Drosophila melanogaster: one gene and its partners. Changing the gene in region 3 together with the main gene of any one other region gives a genetic interaction. Each region holds a gene or a part of one and is shown on either strand. Other genes may lie near its edges.

The links.
Region 1: of ftz-f1 (region 3) and br, changing one suppresses a phenotype caused by changing the other (phenotypic suppression), as found in Drosophila melanogaster (one study listed by BioGRID).
Region 2: of ftz-f1 (region 3) and Idh3b, changing one suppresses a phenotype caused by changing the other (phenotypic suppression), as found in Drosophila melanogaster (one study listed by BioGRID).

Annotation. Positions count from the first base shown.
Region 1 is NC_004354.4:1,610,231-1,615,848, reverse strand, and holds the start of br (broad), read right to left. Parts: upstream 3,509-5,618; 5' UTR 3,046-3,508; intron 2,193-3,045; exon of another isoform or gene 1,904-2,192; intron 1-1,903.
Region 2 is NT_033777.3:22,015,383-22,021,303, forward strand, and holds Idh3b (isocitrate dehydrogenase 3b), read right to left. Parts: upstream 3,803-5,921; 5' UTR 3,652-3,802; coding exon 3,610-3,651; intron 3,446-3,609; coding exon 3,398-3,445; intron 3,335-3,397; coding exon 3,242-3,334; intron 2,715-3,241; coding exon 2,598-2,714; intron 2,541-2,597; coding exon 1,959-2,540; intron 1,837-1,958; coding exon 1,606-1,836; 3' UTR 1,009-1,605; downstream 1-1,008. Other genes in the region: Theg (testicular haploid expressed gene), read left to right, coding at 1-97, 159-378, 445-707; mitofilin, read right to left, coding at 4,478-4,655, 4,722-5,010, 5,068-5,226, 5,320-5,340, 5,443-5,921.
Region 3 is NT_037436.4:18,797,647-18,803,244, reverse strand, and holds the start of ftz-f1 (ftz transcription factor 1), read left to right. Parts: upstream 1-1,935; 5' UTR 1,936-3,137; intron 3,138-4,389; 5' UTR 4,390-4,513; coding exon 4,514-5,598. Other genes in the region: CG14073 (uncharacterized protein), read left to right, coding at 1-182, 248-463. UniProt on the Drosophila melanogaster protein: Acts as a cofactor to fushi tarazu (ftz). Facilitates the binding of ftz to DNA. Binds the sequence element 5'-YCYYGGYCR-3' in the zebra element of ftz. Probably functions as a nuclear receptor for a yet unknown ligand.

The DNA of each region.
Region 1 (5,618 bases), on a different chromosome or scaffold from region 3:
GGCTGTCTCCTGTGCCGGGGCAGAAATAGAAACATCGCGAATGAAGCAGAGGCAGGTCGCAGAAGAAAGGAGAATTGAGAATTGAGCGCGGAGAATCGAGAACGGAGAACGAAGAACGCGAGGGTGACAGAGACAGAGGCAGAGGCAAAAGGGGAAAACTGGAGAAGAGTTATCTCCTAGCCTTTGTGCCTGTCCCATTTGTTTGTCTATCCGGCTTTTGGCCTTGGAGTAACCGTTTCCGAGAACTTGGGAACTCGCCTATATGTATGTCCATGTGTCTATATGTCTATAGCGATAACTATGCACTTTGTATGTCCCTGTCCTCGTCTGTTGGCTCTTCGCATTCGCGTTTGTGTCTGATGTTTTCTGTGTTTATTTTGCAACTCCTCGACTCACCGCTCGCAATTTGCGGCGGCCTTGAATGACACGATCATTACGCTGATCGTGCTCATCATGATCATCATCGTGATCCCTATTTGTTACTGCGACGGATGCATTTGTGGCTGCTGTTGCACCCAAACAAGTGCTCCGTTGCTAGAACATGAGTCATGTGAGTGTGAGTGGAGAGCTGGCAACTGAAACTCTGGGGAGCTGCTGCTGCTCGTCTGCGTGCTTTGTCCACTTGTGGCGATGCGGCTCTCAATTGGCCGCAGTTTCCAGTTGATTCCAGTTGATTGGGCTTCAAGGCTAACGGAAGTGCTACTGGTTGCTAGTCTGTTGTGCAGTTTCTCTAACTGCCCGCTTCTGTCTCTGAGCCTCTGATTACCACTAGCCCCAAGTGGGTCGCCCAGGCCGTTACCCCGGTTCGGATGTCCTTTTACTGTTGCTCCACTCATAAGCTTCCTGGAACTCAAGCTGGCACTGGAGTGGGCACTTGTGCCCTTGCCGCACTGCATTTGCAGCATTTACAATCTGTGGCAGCAACAATTGCAGTGCGGCAACAACAAGTTATGCGCCGACAACCTTGAATGTCGGCCAGTCGCACACAGATGGCTAGCACGCACACGCAGACATCCTAATACACAGACACTGACACAGGCACAGGCACAGACACAGTACGCAGACAGCGTCTAGTCGGGGCCACCACTTTGGCGAGTCTCCTCCATCTCCATCTCCTCCGTCTCCTCTGTCTCCGCCGCCTCTGTTTTCCTAGCATCCAGCTATCCGACAGCCACCAGCCACCACATTCGCATCCCGAGCTTCACAGCACGTCCCACGTGTGTTCCCCACACCCCCAGCCCCTCCTGGCTCTGACTGTGGCTCTGGCTGTGGCGTAGTCTGGCTGCGTCTCTAGTTTCTGTCGTTTTATGCTTTTTTCGCTCTTCCTTTTTGCTAGGCACGCTTCGTTGGCTGCCTGCAATTTTCATTCAGTTTTTCTCTCGTCGCGCGACTTTCCCACCCCGCCCCCACCGCTTCTTTTCCTCCTCTTCCTCGCGTTGCAGGAATGCAGAAAAATGTGTTAGTGGAGTAGTTGCCATTACGTCACCTTGCTGTGACTGTGCCTGTGCCCATGTCCGTGTGAGTGCGCCAGTGTGCGAGTGTATGGGTGCCGGTCTTTGTGGCTTGCAGATGGGGAATGGGAATGGCTGATGATGGTTGTGGATGGGGATAGAAATGGGGACGGCGGAGTGTTGTTGTCGTTTGAGTGACTCGTCTGGGTCTCGGTCTGGGTCTGGGTCGCCCTAACAACTGGGAGAACAAAAAGAAGAAGCTGGCGTTACCACCTTTCCTACAGATCGGTGGGTGGAGCAGGAGAAGCAGCAGGAGTAGTGGGGACCCTGTCACCAAACCGCTTGACTGCGTGCCTGTCTGGCCATTTGAGTCTCGCTGTTGGCCCAGTTCCAGAAGCAAACCCATTGAAAGCAAAAGTTTCAGAAACACCACCGCTCCTCACGTGACTTACCTGCCGTAGAGCTAATCCTGAGATTGATTCCTGAGACCGATTGCGATCGAAATAGAATCAGCAAAAGCCTGAGTGGGTTGCTAAAAGGATACTATGTATATAACGAGAAACATCAACAGAAAAAAAAATATAAACGCAACGAAAACAAAATTGGCGTGGAAGCAAGCTGCTTGCGGATGTGCAGATATACAGATATGCGGATATGCGGATGCCGATATTATGTGAACTTGCGAATTCAGCGCGACTTGCACTTTGCGCGAGCGATTTACGGTACTCAGTTTGCAGTTTGCAATTCGCAATTGGCGATGAGCTGCCACACGACGTTTGCTCAGTGCGACGCTGAACAGCAAACTGCAGTTCCGCCGTTTCGGGCTGGCTTTCGATCGTTCCCGAACCCTGCCCAACCGGCCTTCGTGTTCGGCCGAGTGCAGATCCTCAGCTGCCTTCGCCTTGGCCGTGAGCTTCACGAAGCCTCAGTCTGACTGACAGACTGCAGCCGAAAAAGCGAGGAGTGGCGGGTAGCGGACAAGTGGGGAAGTGGGGAAGTGGGGAAGTGTGGAAGTGTAGAAGTGGAACAATGCAGCGCAGAGTCCAGGGGTGGAGAAGCTGAAACGGGGCTGAAAGAGGCGACTGAGGCTACTGTGCTGCCCTGCTTCCTGCAGTGCATCTGTATCTGTAACAGTATATGTGTCTGTATCTGTATATGTATATGTAGCTGCATCTGTATCTGTATCTGTATCCGTACACTCTGTGCGTCTTTGTGTGCCTTTGTATGCAGATGCACCGAAATTTTTGGACAGTTCGAAGGGAGGGGTCTAGGCCCGGTCCGTCCGCTTTTGTGACTCTTCATCAAAGTGCTAATGAGGAGAGCCGAGCCCAAAGGCAGAGAGGGAGAGAGCAGGCAGCTGCATCGGATGACTCAAATGTCCTTCTTATGGATCGGGCCACGAATCCGAATCAAATTTCAGTGTGTATCTGTACCTGCAACCGTGTGTGAGAATATGGATGTGTGTGTGTGTGTATGTCGATATAGATCTGGATGCTAGGCTCCCTCTGCCCCTAGATCAAGGAGCTTCCAGCACGTTCGGTTTGCCCTACAAAGCAAAGCGGATGGGGTCGGATGGGATGTAGGAAACCCTTACCTGGATGGTGCGGTTGTAGTTGCGCTCAGTAGGTGCATCCTTGCTCATGGCGGCGCTTCATTGGGTCGACTACTTGGGGATGCACACTGATTATTCACTTGAACTTTTGGGGCTTTGGGTTTTTGGGGTTGGCTTTCGCTTTTTCCGCTCCTGATTCTGCGATTCAGTGATTTAGCTATTCTTGGATTCTTAGATTCTTTTGATTCAAAACGCGCGCGAATCGCGCACTAGATGGTTTGCGTCCTTTGGTCTTTGCTTGGGTGCACTTGACAAAAAACACAAAAAAATAGAACAGAGGGAATTGTCCAGTCCTCGTGTGTGTGTTGGATACTGCTGTGGTGCGTTGGTGCGGTGGTGCGAGGGTAGGCGTGGGGTGGGCACTAATGCTATTCAATTCGGGCTCAAACTTAGAAATGGAAATTGAAATTGTGCGTTTAGGCTGAACTAACTTTAGTAACTGAACCGATCGAATTAAAAAGCTCAACTGAGTTCCGAAAAAATGCAGTTAAATGTGTTGGGCTTGTGCCGCTGCCCTCTGCCAGTGTGCGTGTGTATTGGTGTGTGCGCGAGTGTGTGCGTCTGCCCAATTGAATCAGAGAATTCGCTGTGCACCAGTGTTTGTGATATATATGTGTGTGTGTGTATATACTTATGCCGCCTGTATGTTTCATTCGCTTTTTTCGCTTCTTGCTTTTTACTTTTTACTTTTTGCCTTATTTGCTCGCTTTTTTGTTATATACTTCTCGTGTGCGATTGTGTGTTTCCTTCGCTTTTTTGGAGTGCAGCGACGTCGACGGCGGCGGCAGCGGCAGCAGTGCGATCTGCGATCTGCGATCTGCGTTCTGCGATCAACTCGATCCGATCGCTGCAGTTTACAGCGCTGCCTGCAGCGCAGTCGCCAAAAAAACGAGCAAATTTTCTGCGCATGCGACGGCGGCGAAGCCGAGCAAGCGAAAATTGCGTTTTTTTCGGGGGTTCCATGTGTGTGGTTGTGGTTTTTTTATTATTTTTTTTTCTGCTGTCCGTATATTCTGTTGTGTTTTCTGGTATTGCCCATTTAGAAGTTTTGTTTATTCATTGTCAGGCCGACAAAATTGGGGGAAATGAAATGCAAAGTCGTCGGCGAGCGAACGAATCAACGAGCGCCGCCCACACACCGATGCAATTACAAACGCGAATGTTTGGGGCAGATCCGCAGATCGGCAGCGGCAAATTGTAAATAGAGTGATATGGAGCGAGAGGGGTAAGGGGAATGGGAACGGGTAGGGGAATATGCAACTTTCCCCCTATGTAACTCCAAAGATACAGAAAGCGGTACATACGCACACAAAGTCGGCGGCGATCGGAGCGTTTTTTTTTTTAGGCAGAATATCGTCGTGCGTCTTCGGCTCGGAATTGCCCGATTTCACGACCCGCCTGTACCCCCTTCCCACCATACCCCCACAGAGGGTTCCAATTGAAAGTGTAGCCCACATTTCGAGCCCCATCCCAAACGCAAACCCAAATCCAAAGTCGGCCTGTTTTTAGGGCCTTCCCCTGCCTTCCCTCCCTTGCGTCACCCTTTGGAATTGCATTTTCTGCTGATGTTGGTGAAGAGTTGTTTAATATTTTGGTTACCATTACCATTACCATTACCGCATTTTATTACATGGCTCCCCTGTTTGCCATAACCCAGATTCCCATTTCCCTGCTCCCCCGCCCCACCTCCTGGCACGCACAAAGACTTAAGACCGAAGACTGCAGAGCGAAGATTTGCTGGCCCTGAGGAGAAACTGAGCGACTGAGTCTGAGAAACTTGTTGCCACTTGCATCTTGTTTGCCAGTTTTTTTTTTTGTCCGAATTTAATTGTTTTTGCAGCGTTTTTATTTTACTGCTGCATCCCCTTGTTGTTGTCGCCGATATTTTTATGAGCTGTTTTTGGTTTTTTTATTTTTTAGATTCATGCGTGGCGATTTTGGTTTTTTAATTCTGCTGGTCTCGCACTCACGTTAGCATTTTTCAAGAATTGTCTTGAGTGTTGTTTTGTTAAGGTTTCCCTGTCTGCAGTGACCTCTTGCCGATTCATAAACGTATAAATGTATCTACACGTACCATATACACAACATTACCTACGTACCCATAATGCCTTTATTGCTGCGTCTCGTTCGGTTTATGGTTGTTTCAAGATCATCGCAAATGTCACCGAGTCACAGATTAGCCAGAAAGAGGCGAGTCGCGCGGGCAGGGACCACTGTAGTCGCTCTAAGCTCCGCTCCTTTGTTGGGTCTCCGGTTTCGGGTTGGGTGCTTTGCAATTACAACCGGCATTAACCTCTAGGCGGCGCAAACGGAGTCGCAGGCAGCCAACAACCTCGACAACAACCTGACGGCGTAGACGCCGACGTCGAAGGCAGAAGGCAGAAAACAGCGACTGCGAAGGCGAAATGATCACATTGAACTTGTCGATGTCGTTTGTTCTAATTGAAACTGCAGTGGGTTAGTCACCCGCAGTCACTCGCTCCCGCTCACGCACTGGCCATCTCCATCCGCCGACGTCGATCTCTCTTCGCCTGCATATCGGGCGTATACGTAAT
Region 2 (5,921 bases), on a different chromosome or scaffold from region 3:
GAAAAAGAAGAAGAAGACGGAGAAGCAGCTGGCTAAGCACGAGAAGTACATCGAAAAGTTGGCGAAACCAAAGAAAGCACCAAAGGTCCCGAAACCGGTAAGTTAAAAAAAAAACTAAATTCAGCTAAAAACTGATGATAATCCCCCATTTCATTTAGGATCGTGGAGCTGGGGAGTTCGATCCCGTGCGTCTCAATCAGCTGGCCAGTCCCAAGGCCTATTTGGAGGAGATCAAACCCAAGTGGGAGCTGACCTCCCAGATGAAGGACTACAAGGCGACCAAGCGGATCAAGCAAATATCGCAGCCCGTCGTGCGCGATAATGTCCACATCAACGAGAATCCGGAGAAGGTCTCGCCCAATGCCCTTCGCTACAAGCGTAAGTACACATACTCCAATTTAGTTGATCTTTTAATAATGCAGCACCTGGCATTGCTTCACTTAGCGAGTGCCCGCATCAAGGAGATGTCCGAGCCACTTACCACGCGCGATGCCAACCAAGGACTGGCGGATGTCAAGGAGAATCCATTCGGTATCGCGCCAAACGCGCTCAAATACAAGGCGAGCACGCGGATCAAGGAGCTGGCGGAGCCCAAGGAGTTCGAGAACACGCATATCCGGGAGAATCCGTTTGCCATATCGCCGGCGGCTCTGAAGGCCAAAGCCTCGCCACGCCTCATCGAGTTGGCCAAGCCCAAGGGTGGATAATAATTGGAGACGGACGTGGACTGTGCGTCTGGATAATCATTACCGTCCTTATTGGTGTTCTAAGTTTTTCATTTCGGCTACATTTGGTATCGACTTTTCTAATAAATTTGTTTTTGGTTTTTTAAAAAACAACTAGAGCTTTTCCGGCTCTTTACGGGATTGGATTTCCTGTGAAAGTGGCGCCGGAGTTGGGAATAGCGATGAAATCTCCTTTGGCCTTTCATTCCAGTCAAAAAAAAGTTTGAGAAATATGTTTGGGTTTTTTTTTTTATCTTTTGTTTGTATTACTTAAAATTTAGACAGCTCGGAACTGACAATGGCTTTTAAATAATAATTAATTTAGATTTGAGTTTATTGTTATCTTTCTCACAGCTCCAGTGGAGTGGGTCCACTCAAAGCCATCCGTTATCAGTTAATTGGTTTAGCAATATCATTTGTTTTCGGTTTTTTTTTTTGTTTTGCTTTTCAACGGGTTAAACATAAAATATAATTCGACCGTAAATTAGCATCTTTGCGAAATCAAAAAGGGGGGGGGGGGGAAATAATACGTAAATAATTACAACATAATCAAGGATCGATGTATTACTGCCAATTGGTAAAACTAAAGAATTCGCAACTTTTGGATTCGGGGCGGGTCTGCAGGCGTTTCAATTGGACTAAACTTAAATATTCGCCGGAAATAATACTCAAATGAATGCACTGAAGACATCGGGACAAATAAAAAAAATTGGACGTAATAGGATAACTAAGAACTTTCAAGGTGTTTCTTTCAACAATTCAAAATTTAGCTGTGGCAACAACAGAAACTGTCTAATGTCGATTATATAAGCGCCAACGTTGTTGCCCATGATGTTGTAGACTTGCTGATCGCGATGCCGGCGATGACAGTGGTGCCCATCTAGGACATGTTCAGGATGATGGCGCGGGTAAAGTCCTGCGTGGTCGATTGTCCGCCCAGATCCTTAGTACGCACCTTGCCATCGTTCAGCACCTTGTTGATGGCATTCTGGATGATCTCGCCGTAGGTGGGCAGGTTGATGTGGCGCAACAGCTTCACGCCGCAGAGCAGCATGGCAGTGGGATTAGCCACGTTCTTGCCCACGGCCTCGGCGAAGGTGTGACGTGCACCCTGCAATCGGAAATCGGTATTAGAGATAAGAATAGTCTGAAGTGGATTCGCACAGCTAGGCTCGAGAACCGTGTAAATCACGATCTTATGGATTATCTTTATGTCTTTATGGCGAATCTTACCGGCTCAAAGACGACGGATTCCGAGGAGTAGGAGGCACCAGCAACGACACCAGCACCGCCCACGAGACCACTGGCCAGATTGTCCACAATGGCACCATAGAGATTGGGGGTGACCATCACGTCGAACTGGTTGGGATTGGAAACCATCTGCATGGTCGTGTTGTCCACGATCATCTTCTCAAACTGGATGCGCGGATAGAGCCGGGAAACCTCTTCGCAGGAGCGTAGGAAGAGACCGTCGCCCAACTTCATGATATTCGCCTTGTGCACGGCGGTGACCTTCTTGCGCTGATTCTTCGTCGCATAGTCGAAGGCGAACTTGGCAATGCGCATGGACTTTTTGGCGGTGATAATCTTCAGGCACTCCACAATGCCGGGCACCGACTCGTGCTCCAACGCCGAATACTCGCCCTCCGTCTGCTCGCGAATAATCACCGTGTCGATGTTGGTGTGGCGGGTCTTGACACCGGGCAAGCTGCGCACATGCACCACATTGGCGTAGAGGTCCAGGTCGTTGCGAAGCTTCATGTTAAGGGTCTGCAGGTCACCCACATTGCTGTAGTCGGGTGTGGCCAAAACGCCCTGAAGGAGCACATTGTTTAGATTTTATCACACTATTTTATTTTCTTGCAAACTTACCTTAATGCACACTTTGTTTTTCTGAATGGATGCCACCACATCCTCCAGTTTGGCACTAAGCACGGGATTGATTTCGGAAAGGAAGTAGCACTCGAAGTCCACGGGAACGCTGGCTGCCTGAACGACAAGATAAGATAATTATGCATATTGATTGGGCTTGAAAAGTTAAAGAATTTACATAGCATTTTTTAATTTAGTCGCACGTATGAACATGTATGTTCAGTTAAAACGGAAATCCCGAAATCTACTAAAATTTTCAAGTAGCAGCCACTTATCACATATCTTTACGATACAGATAAGTTTGATGTTTTGATTTATATAATAAAAACACTCGTGATCGGGAAAAATGGAAGTGTTATCAAATACAATGCGCTCTGTGAAGAGTGAAATATATTAATTAATTTTTAGAGCCCTGTGCTTTTTAAATCTAATAGATTCTAGAAATATGTACATAACTAACTAAACGCCGACTTGCTTAAAAAAAGCTTTTCTATTAAATAGGAAACCAAGCTGGCAATGATCCTAAGCTTAAATAACCTTTTTTTTAAGAGAGATCAAGAGACGCAAGAGTATAGATTTATAAGAATTAGGACGCATTGGAATACTGTATGTGAATGATTGCAACTTGATGGATGGTTAGCTACCTTGAAGACCTCCTGGAGGGAGTAGACCAGCTCGGGACCCACACCGTCGCCGGGAATCAGTGTGCAGGTGGTCCTGTTGGCGCCGTAGTTATCCTGCAAGACCAATTATTTTCCGGTTACAACTGGTGCCACTTAATAAGCGCATTTAACACTCACCGTAGCCCGTAGCGTCGACGTGGTGTGCAGACTACGTGCTGCCGCAGCCTAAAACGAGAAGAATGCAATGTAATCGTTAAGGCTGGCTAGGATTATAACCTCAAAAAAAAAAAAAAGAAACGTATAAGAACTAGGCCTCAGCGCAGAAATATTCGCACAGCGCGTCGCGAGCAAGTGTTTATGTAAGAGCTGCGGTTTGGATGGCCGTTTACCTGCATGAACGTCCGTCCAACTGTTCTCGCCAGCATCGACATTTTGCTATTCGGTTAGCTAGATCTTCCCGGCTGTTGATCCAAACTCAAAAGTGTGTCCTTTGGCCACGCGAAATTTTTGATTGCGATGTGATTTTTGCTCCGGTGCCAAACCGAAAAATTTCAATAGGACCAAATCGACCACGCAAACCAGCTGATTGCCTCTGACTACCAGGGCTGGCGATAGCCGCCCACGAAACTGGCGCGTCCAGTGCTGGCTAACGACCAACTATCGCGATTTTGGCGTTCGAAAATTAGTAACGAACATATACGATTATTTAAGGAATAAATTTGGCGGCAACCGCATAGTAACCTGTTTTTGAATACATTTGCCTTGCCTACCATGCTTTCTTTTCAGAACAGAGAAATTAAATTTAGCCAATGCATTTTATTTGAATTTTGACATTCAGCATACTTTTTAGTCAACTTATTTATTATATTAATTTTTTTCGCTAAATTAAACAACAAGTGGATGTTCTTTATGTTTATTTATGGCCTAATCACATTGTTCTTCAGAAACACAAAGCTTGCCAATTTCAGCTTTAGTAATATATCATATTCCATTCATGCCTTGGTATCGAATTTTTTACAAATCTTCCCAGAGTATTTATGTTTTGGATTTTATAATGATGGTTTCTATGTTTAATTTGTATAATTGAAGCTAAACAAAATGTTACAAATATATGTATATAAGTGCTATTTCGTTTCAACTGTGATCGCTAATTGGACAAATTACATATTGTTGGTAATCGTACCATCTTCTCCTGGACTAATAACAAATAGTAAGTGTATCATCTTGTTTCTGAAGGAAGGGGACACGGGACGTAGTCTACAAATACAATAGTCCGCTGGCAGCGGCGTGAGCCATCAAGGTGTTGGCCGCCTGCTGAGTCTCCAGCATGAGGCGAGCCTCCTTCATCCACTCGCCGGCAATCTTGCGCGATGCACCCTGCAGCAGATTCATGTACTTGAGCGCCTGCAGAAAGTCGCTGCGATCCACATGGTACCTGTGAAACATAATATATATAATATATATTATATAACTCTAGTGATAGATGAATCAATCGCCTCACCTGGCCCTGTTTAGGATATCGTAGGTGTCCAGTTTGCTATAGTCGAAGGGTTTGTTCTCGAGTTCGTCCTTGGATATGGGATTATCGGGTCGCAAGATGAACAGCGATTGCAGATAGGACAGGAAGTAGATGGGCAGGCCGGCTCCTTCCTCGGGCACCAAAGCCAATCGTCGCGCCACGCGCTCCACATTCAGGAAACGCTCGCGCAATGCATCTTCTGGATAGACACCGCGCTCCTGAGCCTCCTTCGGGACGCTTTCCAGCACAGCGGCCACCAGGTCGTCACCCTCTGTAAGCATATGCATTTAGCAACTGAAATCGAAATGTGGGAAACGTTTCAACTTACTAGCCACCTTGGCAATGGCATTGATCTCGTTCTTTAACGGGCGCAACCTATCCTTATAGTGCACGCCAGGAGTGGCAGCGCGCACGGAGGCCCACAGAGCTTGGCAGGCGGCCCAAAGGGCCTGCGCCTGATTGGCAGTACGCTCTGCATCCGCACGCTCTGCAAAAATGTTGCATATAATGTCAATAAACATTTTGATTAAACCAAGAATAAGTTGGTATAAGTACTACCCTTCATATAGGGTGAATATACCTTGAAACTCATCCTCTATCTCTAATATAGCAGCATGTTTTGAAAAGGTTTGAAAACCATTATATATCTAGCCACGCTACACTAGCTACATTCAACCGATATCGTTTAAAACGTATAACTTACCTGCCAGAGCCGCGTCCATTCCGCGCAGCTTGCCGAGCATCCCGGCCAATTGTAACTTATAGTTGGCCTTTTCGGTCGCCAGCTTATCCTCAAGTTCACGCTTAAAGCTTCGCGTCAGATCGGTCTCCCGCTGCGCCACGATGTCCTTTATATGATCGGCGTGGGCCTCTGCTTGCTTTTTGAGCTGCAAGCGCAGCAGCTTATCAGACTCGGCGTGGATGTGGAAGATTTTCTTTTGATTTTCCACGGCCAGTTTGCGCCGCTCGGCCTCCAAATGGTATTCCAGTTGGGCGCGCAAAGCCTCCGAATCGTTGTCACCGCGAACCGAGTCAATAGCTCTCTTCAGGCGCAGCTCACCATCGGTTTGCAAGCGCTGCAGCTCCTTCTGGTAGGCCAGGACATGGGTGTAGGCGTGCAGGATGAACAAGTCTAGGTCCTCCTTTGACAGATTAAGTTTCTTATCCGCCAAACTGAGGCCG
Region 3 (5,598 bases):
ATCAGACGGACATCGAGACAATGGATAGTGAATTGAATGGTGATATTTTTGAATTTGAAGAGGCCGATGTGCCCTTGCCACCACTGTACTTGCTCAAAGACGAGGGCAGTGATAAATGGGTACTACTCAATGATTTGTGCAATTTACTTAAAGTTAAATCGAAGGATACGTTGCTTAACAAGGTATGTGCCATTTAGATGCGATATTTAAATGAACTTATAACAAAATCTTGTTATTTTTTTTTTAGCTCTGTCCGAACAACAGCAATGCCTTGGCCAGCAGTCAGAAGCACCTGCTACGGGAGTTCAAGATAGATGATTTCCTGGAGAAAGCCACCTGCCTGCAGCTGTTGTGCGCCGGTGAAAAGCTGAACATGTTCAGTTCGTCGAAGGTTGTGCTCATCAAATACAACGACAGTGTACGGAACTTGTTGGGCGTTAAGACCATTTTAATGAAATTTTAACCGAGATATCTTTAGCGATTGGACGGGGCAAGATCCAGAAAGATATAAATTAGATAATGATGAATGGATGAGCATAGTACTAACTGAACATAGAGTGTAAAGTGCAAACAAATATGGAAAAACTATTAGTACGAATATAATAGTAGATTTATATACTATACATATGTATATTTTAGCTAGTAACTAGTTTTTACTCACACGTCTTTGTCTTTGGAAGATAAAGGATTTTATAAAGGAAATTAAATTTAGAGCTAATGCAAAGTGATACAAAGGTGCTATACACACTCAAAACGAAGAAAAAGGAAATGAATGGAAATTTTAGAGCGAGAATATTGAGAAAATCTGGAATCTTTAGGGATTGGCTGCAATTATGCAATAAAAGTAGAAGAAAACAATGCAAGGCAGTTAGAAACGAGGAAACGAACGGAAAATGTATGCCAGCCAATCAGCTAATAAATTGATATATACTTACAGATAAATCTAGGGATGAAGTGTAATCTATGGTTTTTAAAAAAACAAAACAATCTAGCTAAAGTATAAACTAAATAATAATTATTGTAATAATATTAAAGAAGCAACAAAGGCGTATTTATGTATTATGTATTTTTAAATGAAATTATTAACATAATATATAAAGTATATGTATACACAATATGATCCAACTACAATGTAAATCAATTTTCAGATAGGTTTGTAATTTTCTATGTAATGTACGTGTGTAAGTTTTGTGCAACTATAAAAGGAAACCACAAAAAACTGAAGAAATTTAACAAAAAAAAAAAAACTAATAATGAAAAACAAAATAAATGCAAAGTGAAATTTTGACAATTTAAAAGTGCGGTTTCACTTCAAAATTTTAACAATCTCCTGGCATTTGAAAACAAATATCGATCCAAGCTTTTATTAAACGATTCTTCAAAATTGGTTTAAAAGGTTATTTATATATAATAATAGATGACTGAACAGGTAAGGTCTTAGATAAGTACTTAAATATACTTAGAGGGCCCATTCTTTTGAAAAAGTATAATTATATCTTGTGAATATTTAAATTCGTCTTCTTCTTTTCCTTTTAAATTTGCAATTATTTGAACTAGATAATCTCATTGTATTTTTTATTGCTTATTAAAATTTATGTAATATTTCATTGACAAACCGCCACAGTTTTGAATTTACGATCTATCGATAACTTGGCGATAGGTTCCGGCAGATGTCGCTCTCAAAAGCTCGCCGCACGAGCGGTGCGCTAAACGCGGGTGTGCGTGCATGTGAGTGCTTTCAGCTGAAAGCTTTCCGGTTTTCATATGATTGCCGTCCTTGTTCTTCAAACGATTTTTAAAGGCCAAGAATGCTGCCTCTCTGTCCTTGGCCCCGCTCTTCGCTCCGGTGATCCAACACTATCCCGACCGCGCATGTGTGTGTGCGTGTATGCGCGAGGGCTTTCGGTCTTCTTCTACCTACGCCAACAAACTTTTACTGTGTGTTGTGTTCCCGTTCGAGTTCGACCTAATTTCGCTCGAGACCTAATTTTTGCGTGCGGAATAGTTTTTCCCGAAAAAGTGAAGCCAGCGAATAAACAATAGCTGAAAGTGAGCGATAGCCAAGAAAGTAAGAGTGAAAGTAAACAAAAGCGAAAAGAAGAACAGCTCTGGCGTTAATTATGTGTGTGTACATACGTATATATTTAATATTTCCGATGCGTCCATAACGGGAGTGTGTTCTGGTTTCCAATCGTCGCCCGCGCCCCCGTCATTGCCTATCCGTTTACCAAACCCCAATTTTGGTGTGCAATTGTGTATAAAAATTAACACAAAGTGGGAAGATAGCGTTGTGTCATAGAATTGGAGCAGAAGCAAAAACAAGGCAAAATTAGCAAAAGCCAAGCGGAAAAACAACAACACAGAGTGCCCAGTGGAACCCCAGTACATGTGTGTATATATGTATGTGCGGTGCGAGCGTGTCAGTGTGTGCGTAGCAGGAATTGCAATTTATAGTTGTTGTTTCTGAGAGCTTTCGCTTGTTGCGCGCGTGCGACGATTGTGCAAGAAGTTCTTGGTGTGCGTTCGAAATCGGGAAGAGGAAATCGCCGAGAATAGAGGAAGAGTAAATGGCAATAAATGCAAAATAAATAAAAGAAATAAATAAAAAAAAATATAAATAAATTGCCAAATGCGTTTGGCGTCGCGTGTGTGTGCGTGTTCTGAAATATGCTGAAAGAGCTTTCGGAGAGCGAGAGCAAAAGAGAACGAGACGCCGAGAGATGCGATCGGGAGAAATAGCAACAACAACAACAACGGCAACAGCGACTACGATCGGCGAAATGAATCACACACAAGCTTTGTTTTGCGAATTATAAATTCGCGTTCCGTTCTCCACACATGCGAATTCCCACACTGAGAGCGAGACAGAGACAGCGAGAGAGAGGGAGACCAGCTACGGCTACAAAAACAGAAACAGCAAGAAGACCAAGACATAATAATAGAACTTTTGCTTTCGCTTCCAACTGGTTTTTGTATACATAAAAAGCGAGAGGGGAAGAGACGGAGAAAGAGAGAGACGGACAGCTTCCAGCGCTTCTTCTTCTTCCGCGATCTTCGTCTTGGAATTCATGGAACCGGGCGCATGCGCAACACACAGAACTACAAAAGGAAAAACAACGACGTCAGCTGCATGAAAGGTAAATTCTCAATTCTCCCCGCTGCACGACTTCCTCTCGCTCACCTTTTACCCCCCAAAAACCTCCTTTTCCATTTTGTCTAGTTGGGTGAGCTTTATTTTACTGCACTTACCATCTTTAATGGGAAGTAGGAGCACGGAATGAAATACAGTTTTGACACGAATTTGATTTAAAAACCATCATTATAAGAAAACTTTTTAAATAAAATCACCTTTTTGTTTGTTTAAATAAATTTTACTGGGATCATTATATATATATTTTTTACAAAAATTAATGTGGTTTTAAAAATTTGGATAATAAACTGAAAATTGTATCAGCAGTTTATAGCTTTTTATAGTTTTTTTTTATACATTTTCTCGTATTTTCCACTAAGATATTTTTCTTTTAAAATATTAAATATAAAGTTAATGTCATTTGCTCAATTTTTTTCCGTGGATTACCCGAGGGTTGGTGAGATTCAAGCACGAAAAGTGAAGAACTTGAAGTCGAGTGAAGTTAATTAAAGTATCGTTAAAAAGGGTAACACAGGGCTTAAAAAAATGGGGGAATCTTTCCAGTTGTCTGTTTCGCGAACTGGAAAATTACTGTAAATGGGGGAATAAACAATTTAGCGTGTTAATTTTTAAATGGATTTTATCTACTCGGAAAAAATAATTTGGTTAAAGATGCTTTTAATGCATTAACTTTTTTTTTTTTTATTAATTTTTGTAATCTTGTAAAACAATTGCATTTTTAAAAAAACTTTATTTTTCAATTTTTAAATTAAAGATTCTCGACGTCTATTTTGAAATTTAATTTTTAAACATCGGTTTATTGGTGAAATTGCATTGATACTGATAAAAATAGTTTAGGCACTCCTAAGCTCTACGGAGGTATATATTGTGGACTTTCGACGATTTAGTTAAAAACCCTAAACAATAATTAAATAGTAGAATTATAAAAAAACTGAAATATAACATAATAAATTGGGTGGACATTGAAGTGGTACAGAAAAAGCTTTGAAAGCTTTCTCTCCCCACAAAGAGTTGACCTTGGCCTGCTTCAAATACCATTAGGCCTTTCCTTGGCCCACATTCTCTGCGACCTGACCTTCAACCTGACCTTGCATTAACCTAGGCCTTTGAAATCCTTGTCCTACTTCCTGAAAATTAATATTTATTACTAGAACGGATTGATTTTTGGTTTAGACGGCTTTAAAAACGCTTAGAATTTTTTTTTGATTACTAATAATCTGCTTTATTACCATTTTCAGGTCTTTAAAGCAATTATAAACTTACAACTACTATCGTTACCTGCCATTAAGAATCAACAAAACAAATACCACACATCACAACGAAACGTACAAAAAATAAAAGTTAAATTATATTATTCATAAAATGGATACCTTCAATGTACCTATGCTGGCGGAGAGCAGCAACACCAACTATGCAACAGAAGCTACCAGCAATCATCACCACCTGCAACATCAGCATCAGCAGCAACATTCACATCAGCAGCAGCAGCAGCAGCAACTCCTAATGCCCCATCATCACAAGGATCAAATGCTGGCGGCGGGCAGTTCGCCCATGCTGCCATTCTATTCACACTTGCAGTTGCAACAGAAGGATGCAACTGCAACAATAGGACCTGCAGCAGCAGCAGCAGCAGTTGAGGCGGCAACAACATCGGCAAATGCCGATAACTTCAGTTCATTGCAAACGATCGATGCCAGTCAACTGGATGGAGGCATCTCCTTGAGCGGCTTGTGCGATCGTTTCTTTGTGGCCAGTCCAAATCCCCACAGCAATAGCAACATGACACTAATGGGCACTGCCACAGCTGCAACAACTACCACTACCAACAACAACAATAATAACAACACTAACAATAACAATAACAACAACGTGGAGGCTAAGACAGTGAGGCCATCGAACGGCAATTCGGTGATCATCGAATCTGTGACGATGCCATCGTTTGCCAATATTCTATTTCCCACCCATCGCAGCGCCAACGAGTGCATTGATCCCGCCCTGTTGCAAAAGAATCCCCAAAATCCAAATGGCAACAACAGTAGCATAATTGTGCCGCCCGTCGAATATCATCAATTGAAACCACTTGAAGTCAATTCGTCGACTTCCGTTTCCACCAGCAACTTCCTGTCCTCCACAACGGCCCAATTGTTGGACTTTGAGGTGCAGGTGGGCAAGGATGATGGCCACATTAGCACCACTACGACCACAGGGCCGGGCTCTGGATCGGCATCGGGTTCAGGATCGGGATCGGGATCGGGATCAGGATCGATTGCACGCACAATAGGCACTGCAACGCCCACAACGACAACATCCATGAGCAACACTGCCAATCCGACGAGGAGCTCATTGCACAGTATTGAGGAGCTGGCCGCCAGTTCCTGTGCCCCGAGAGCAGCGTCTCCCAACAGCAACCACACTAGCAGTGCCAGCACCACTCCGCAGCAGCAGCA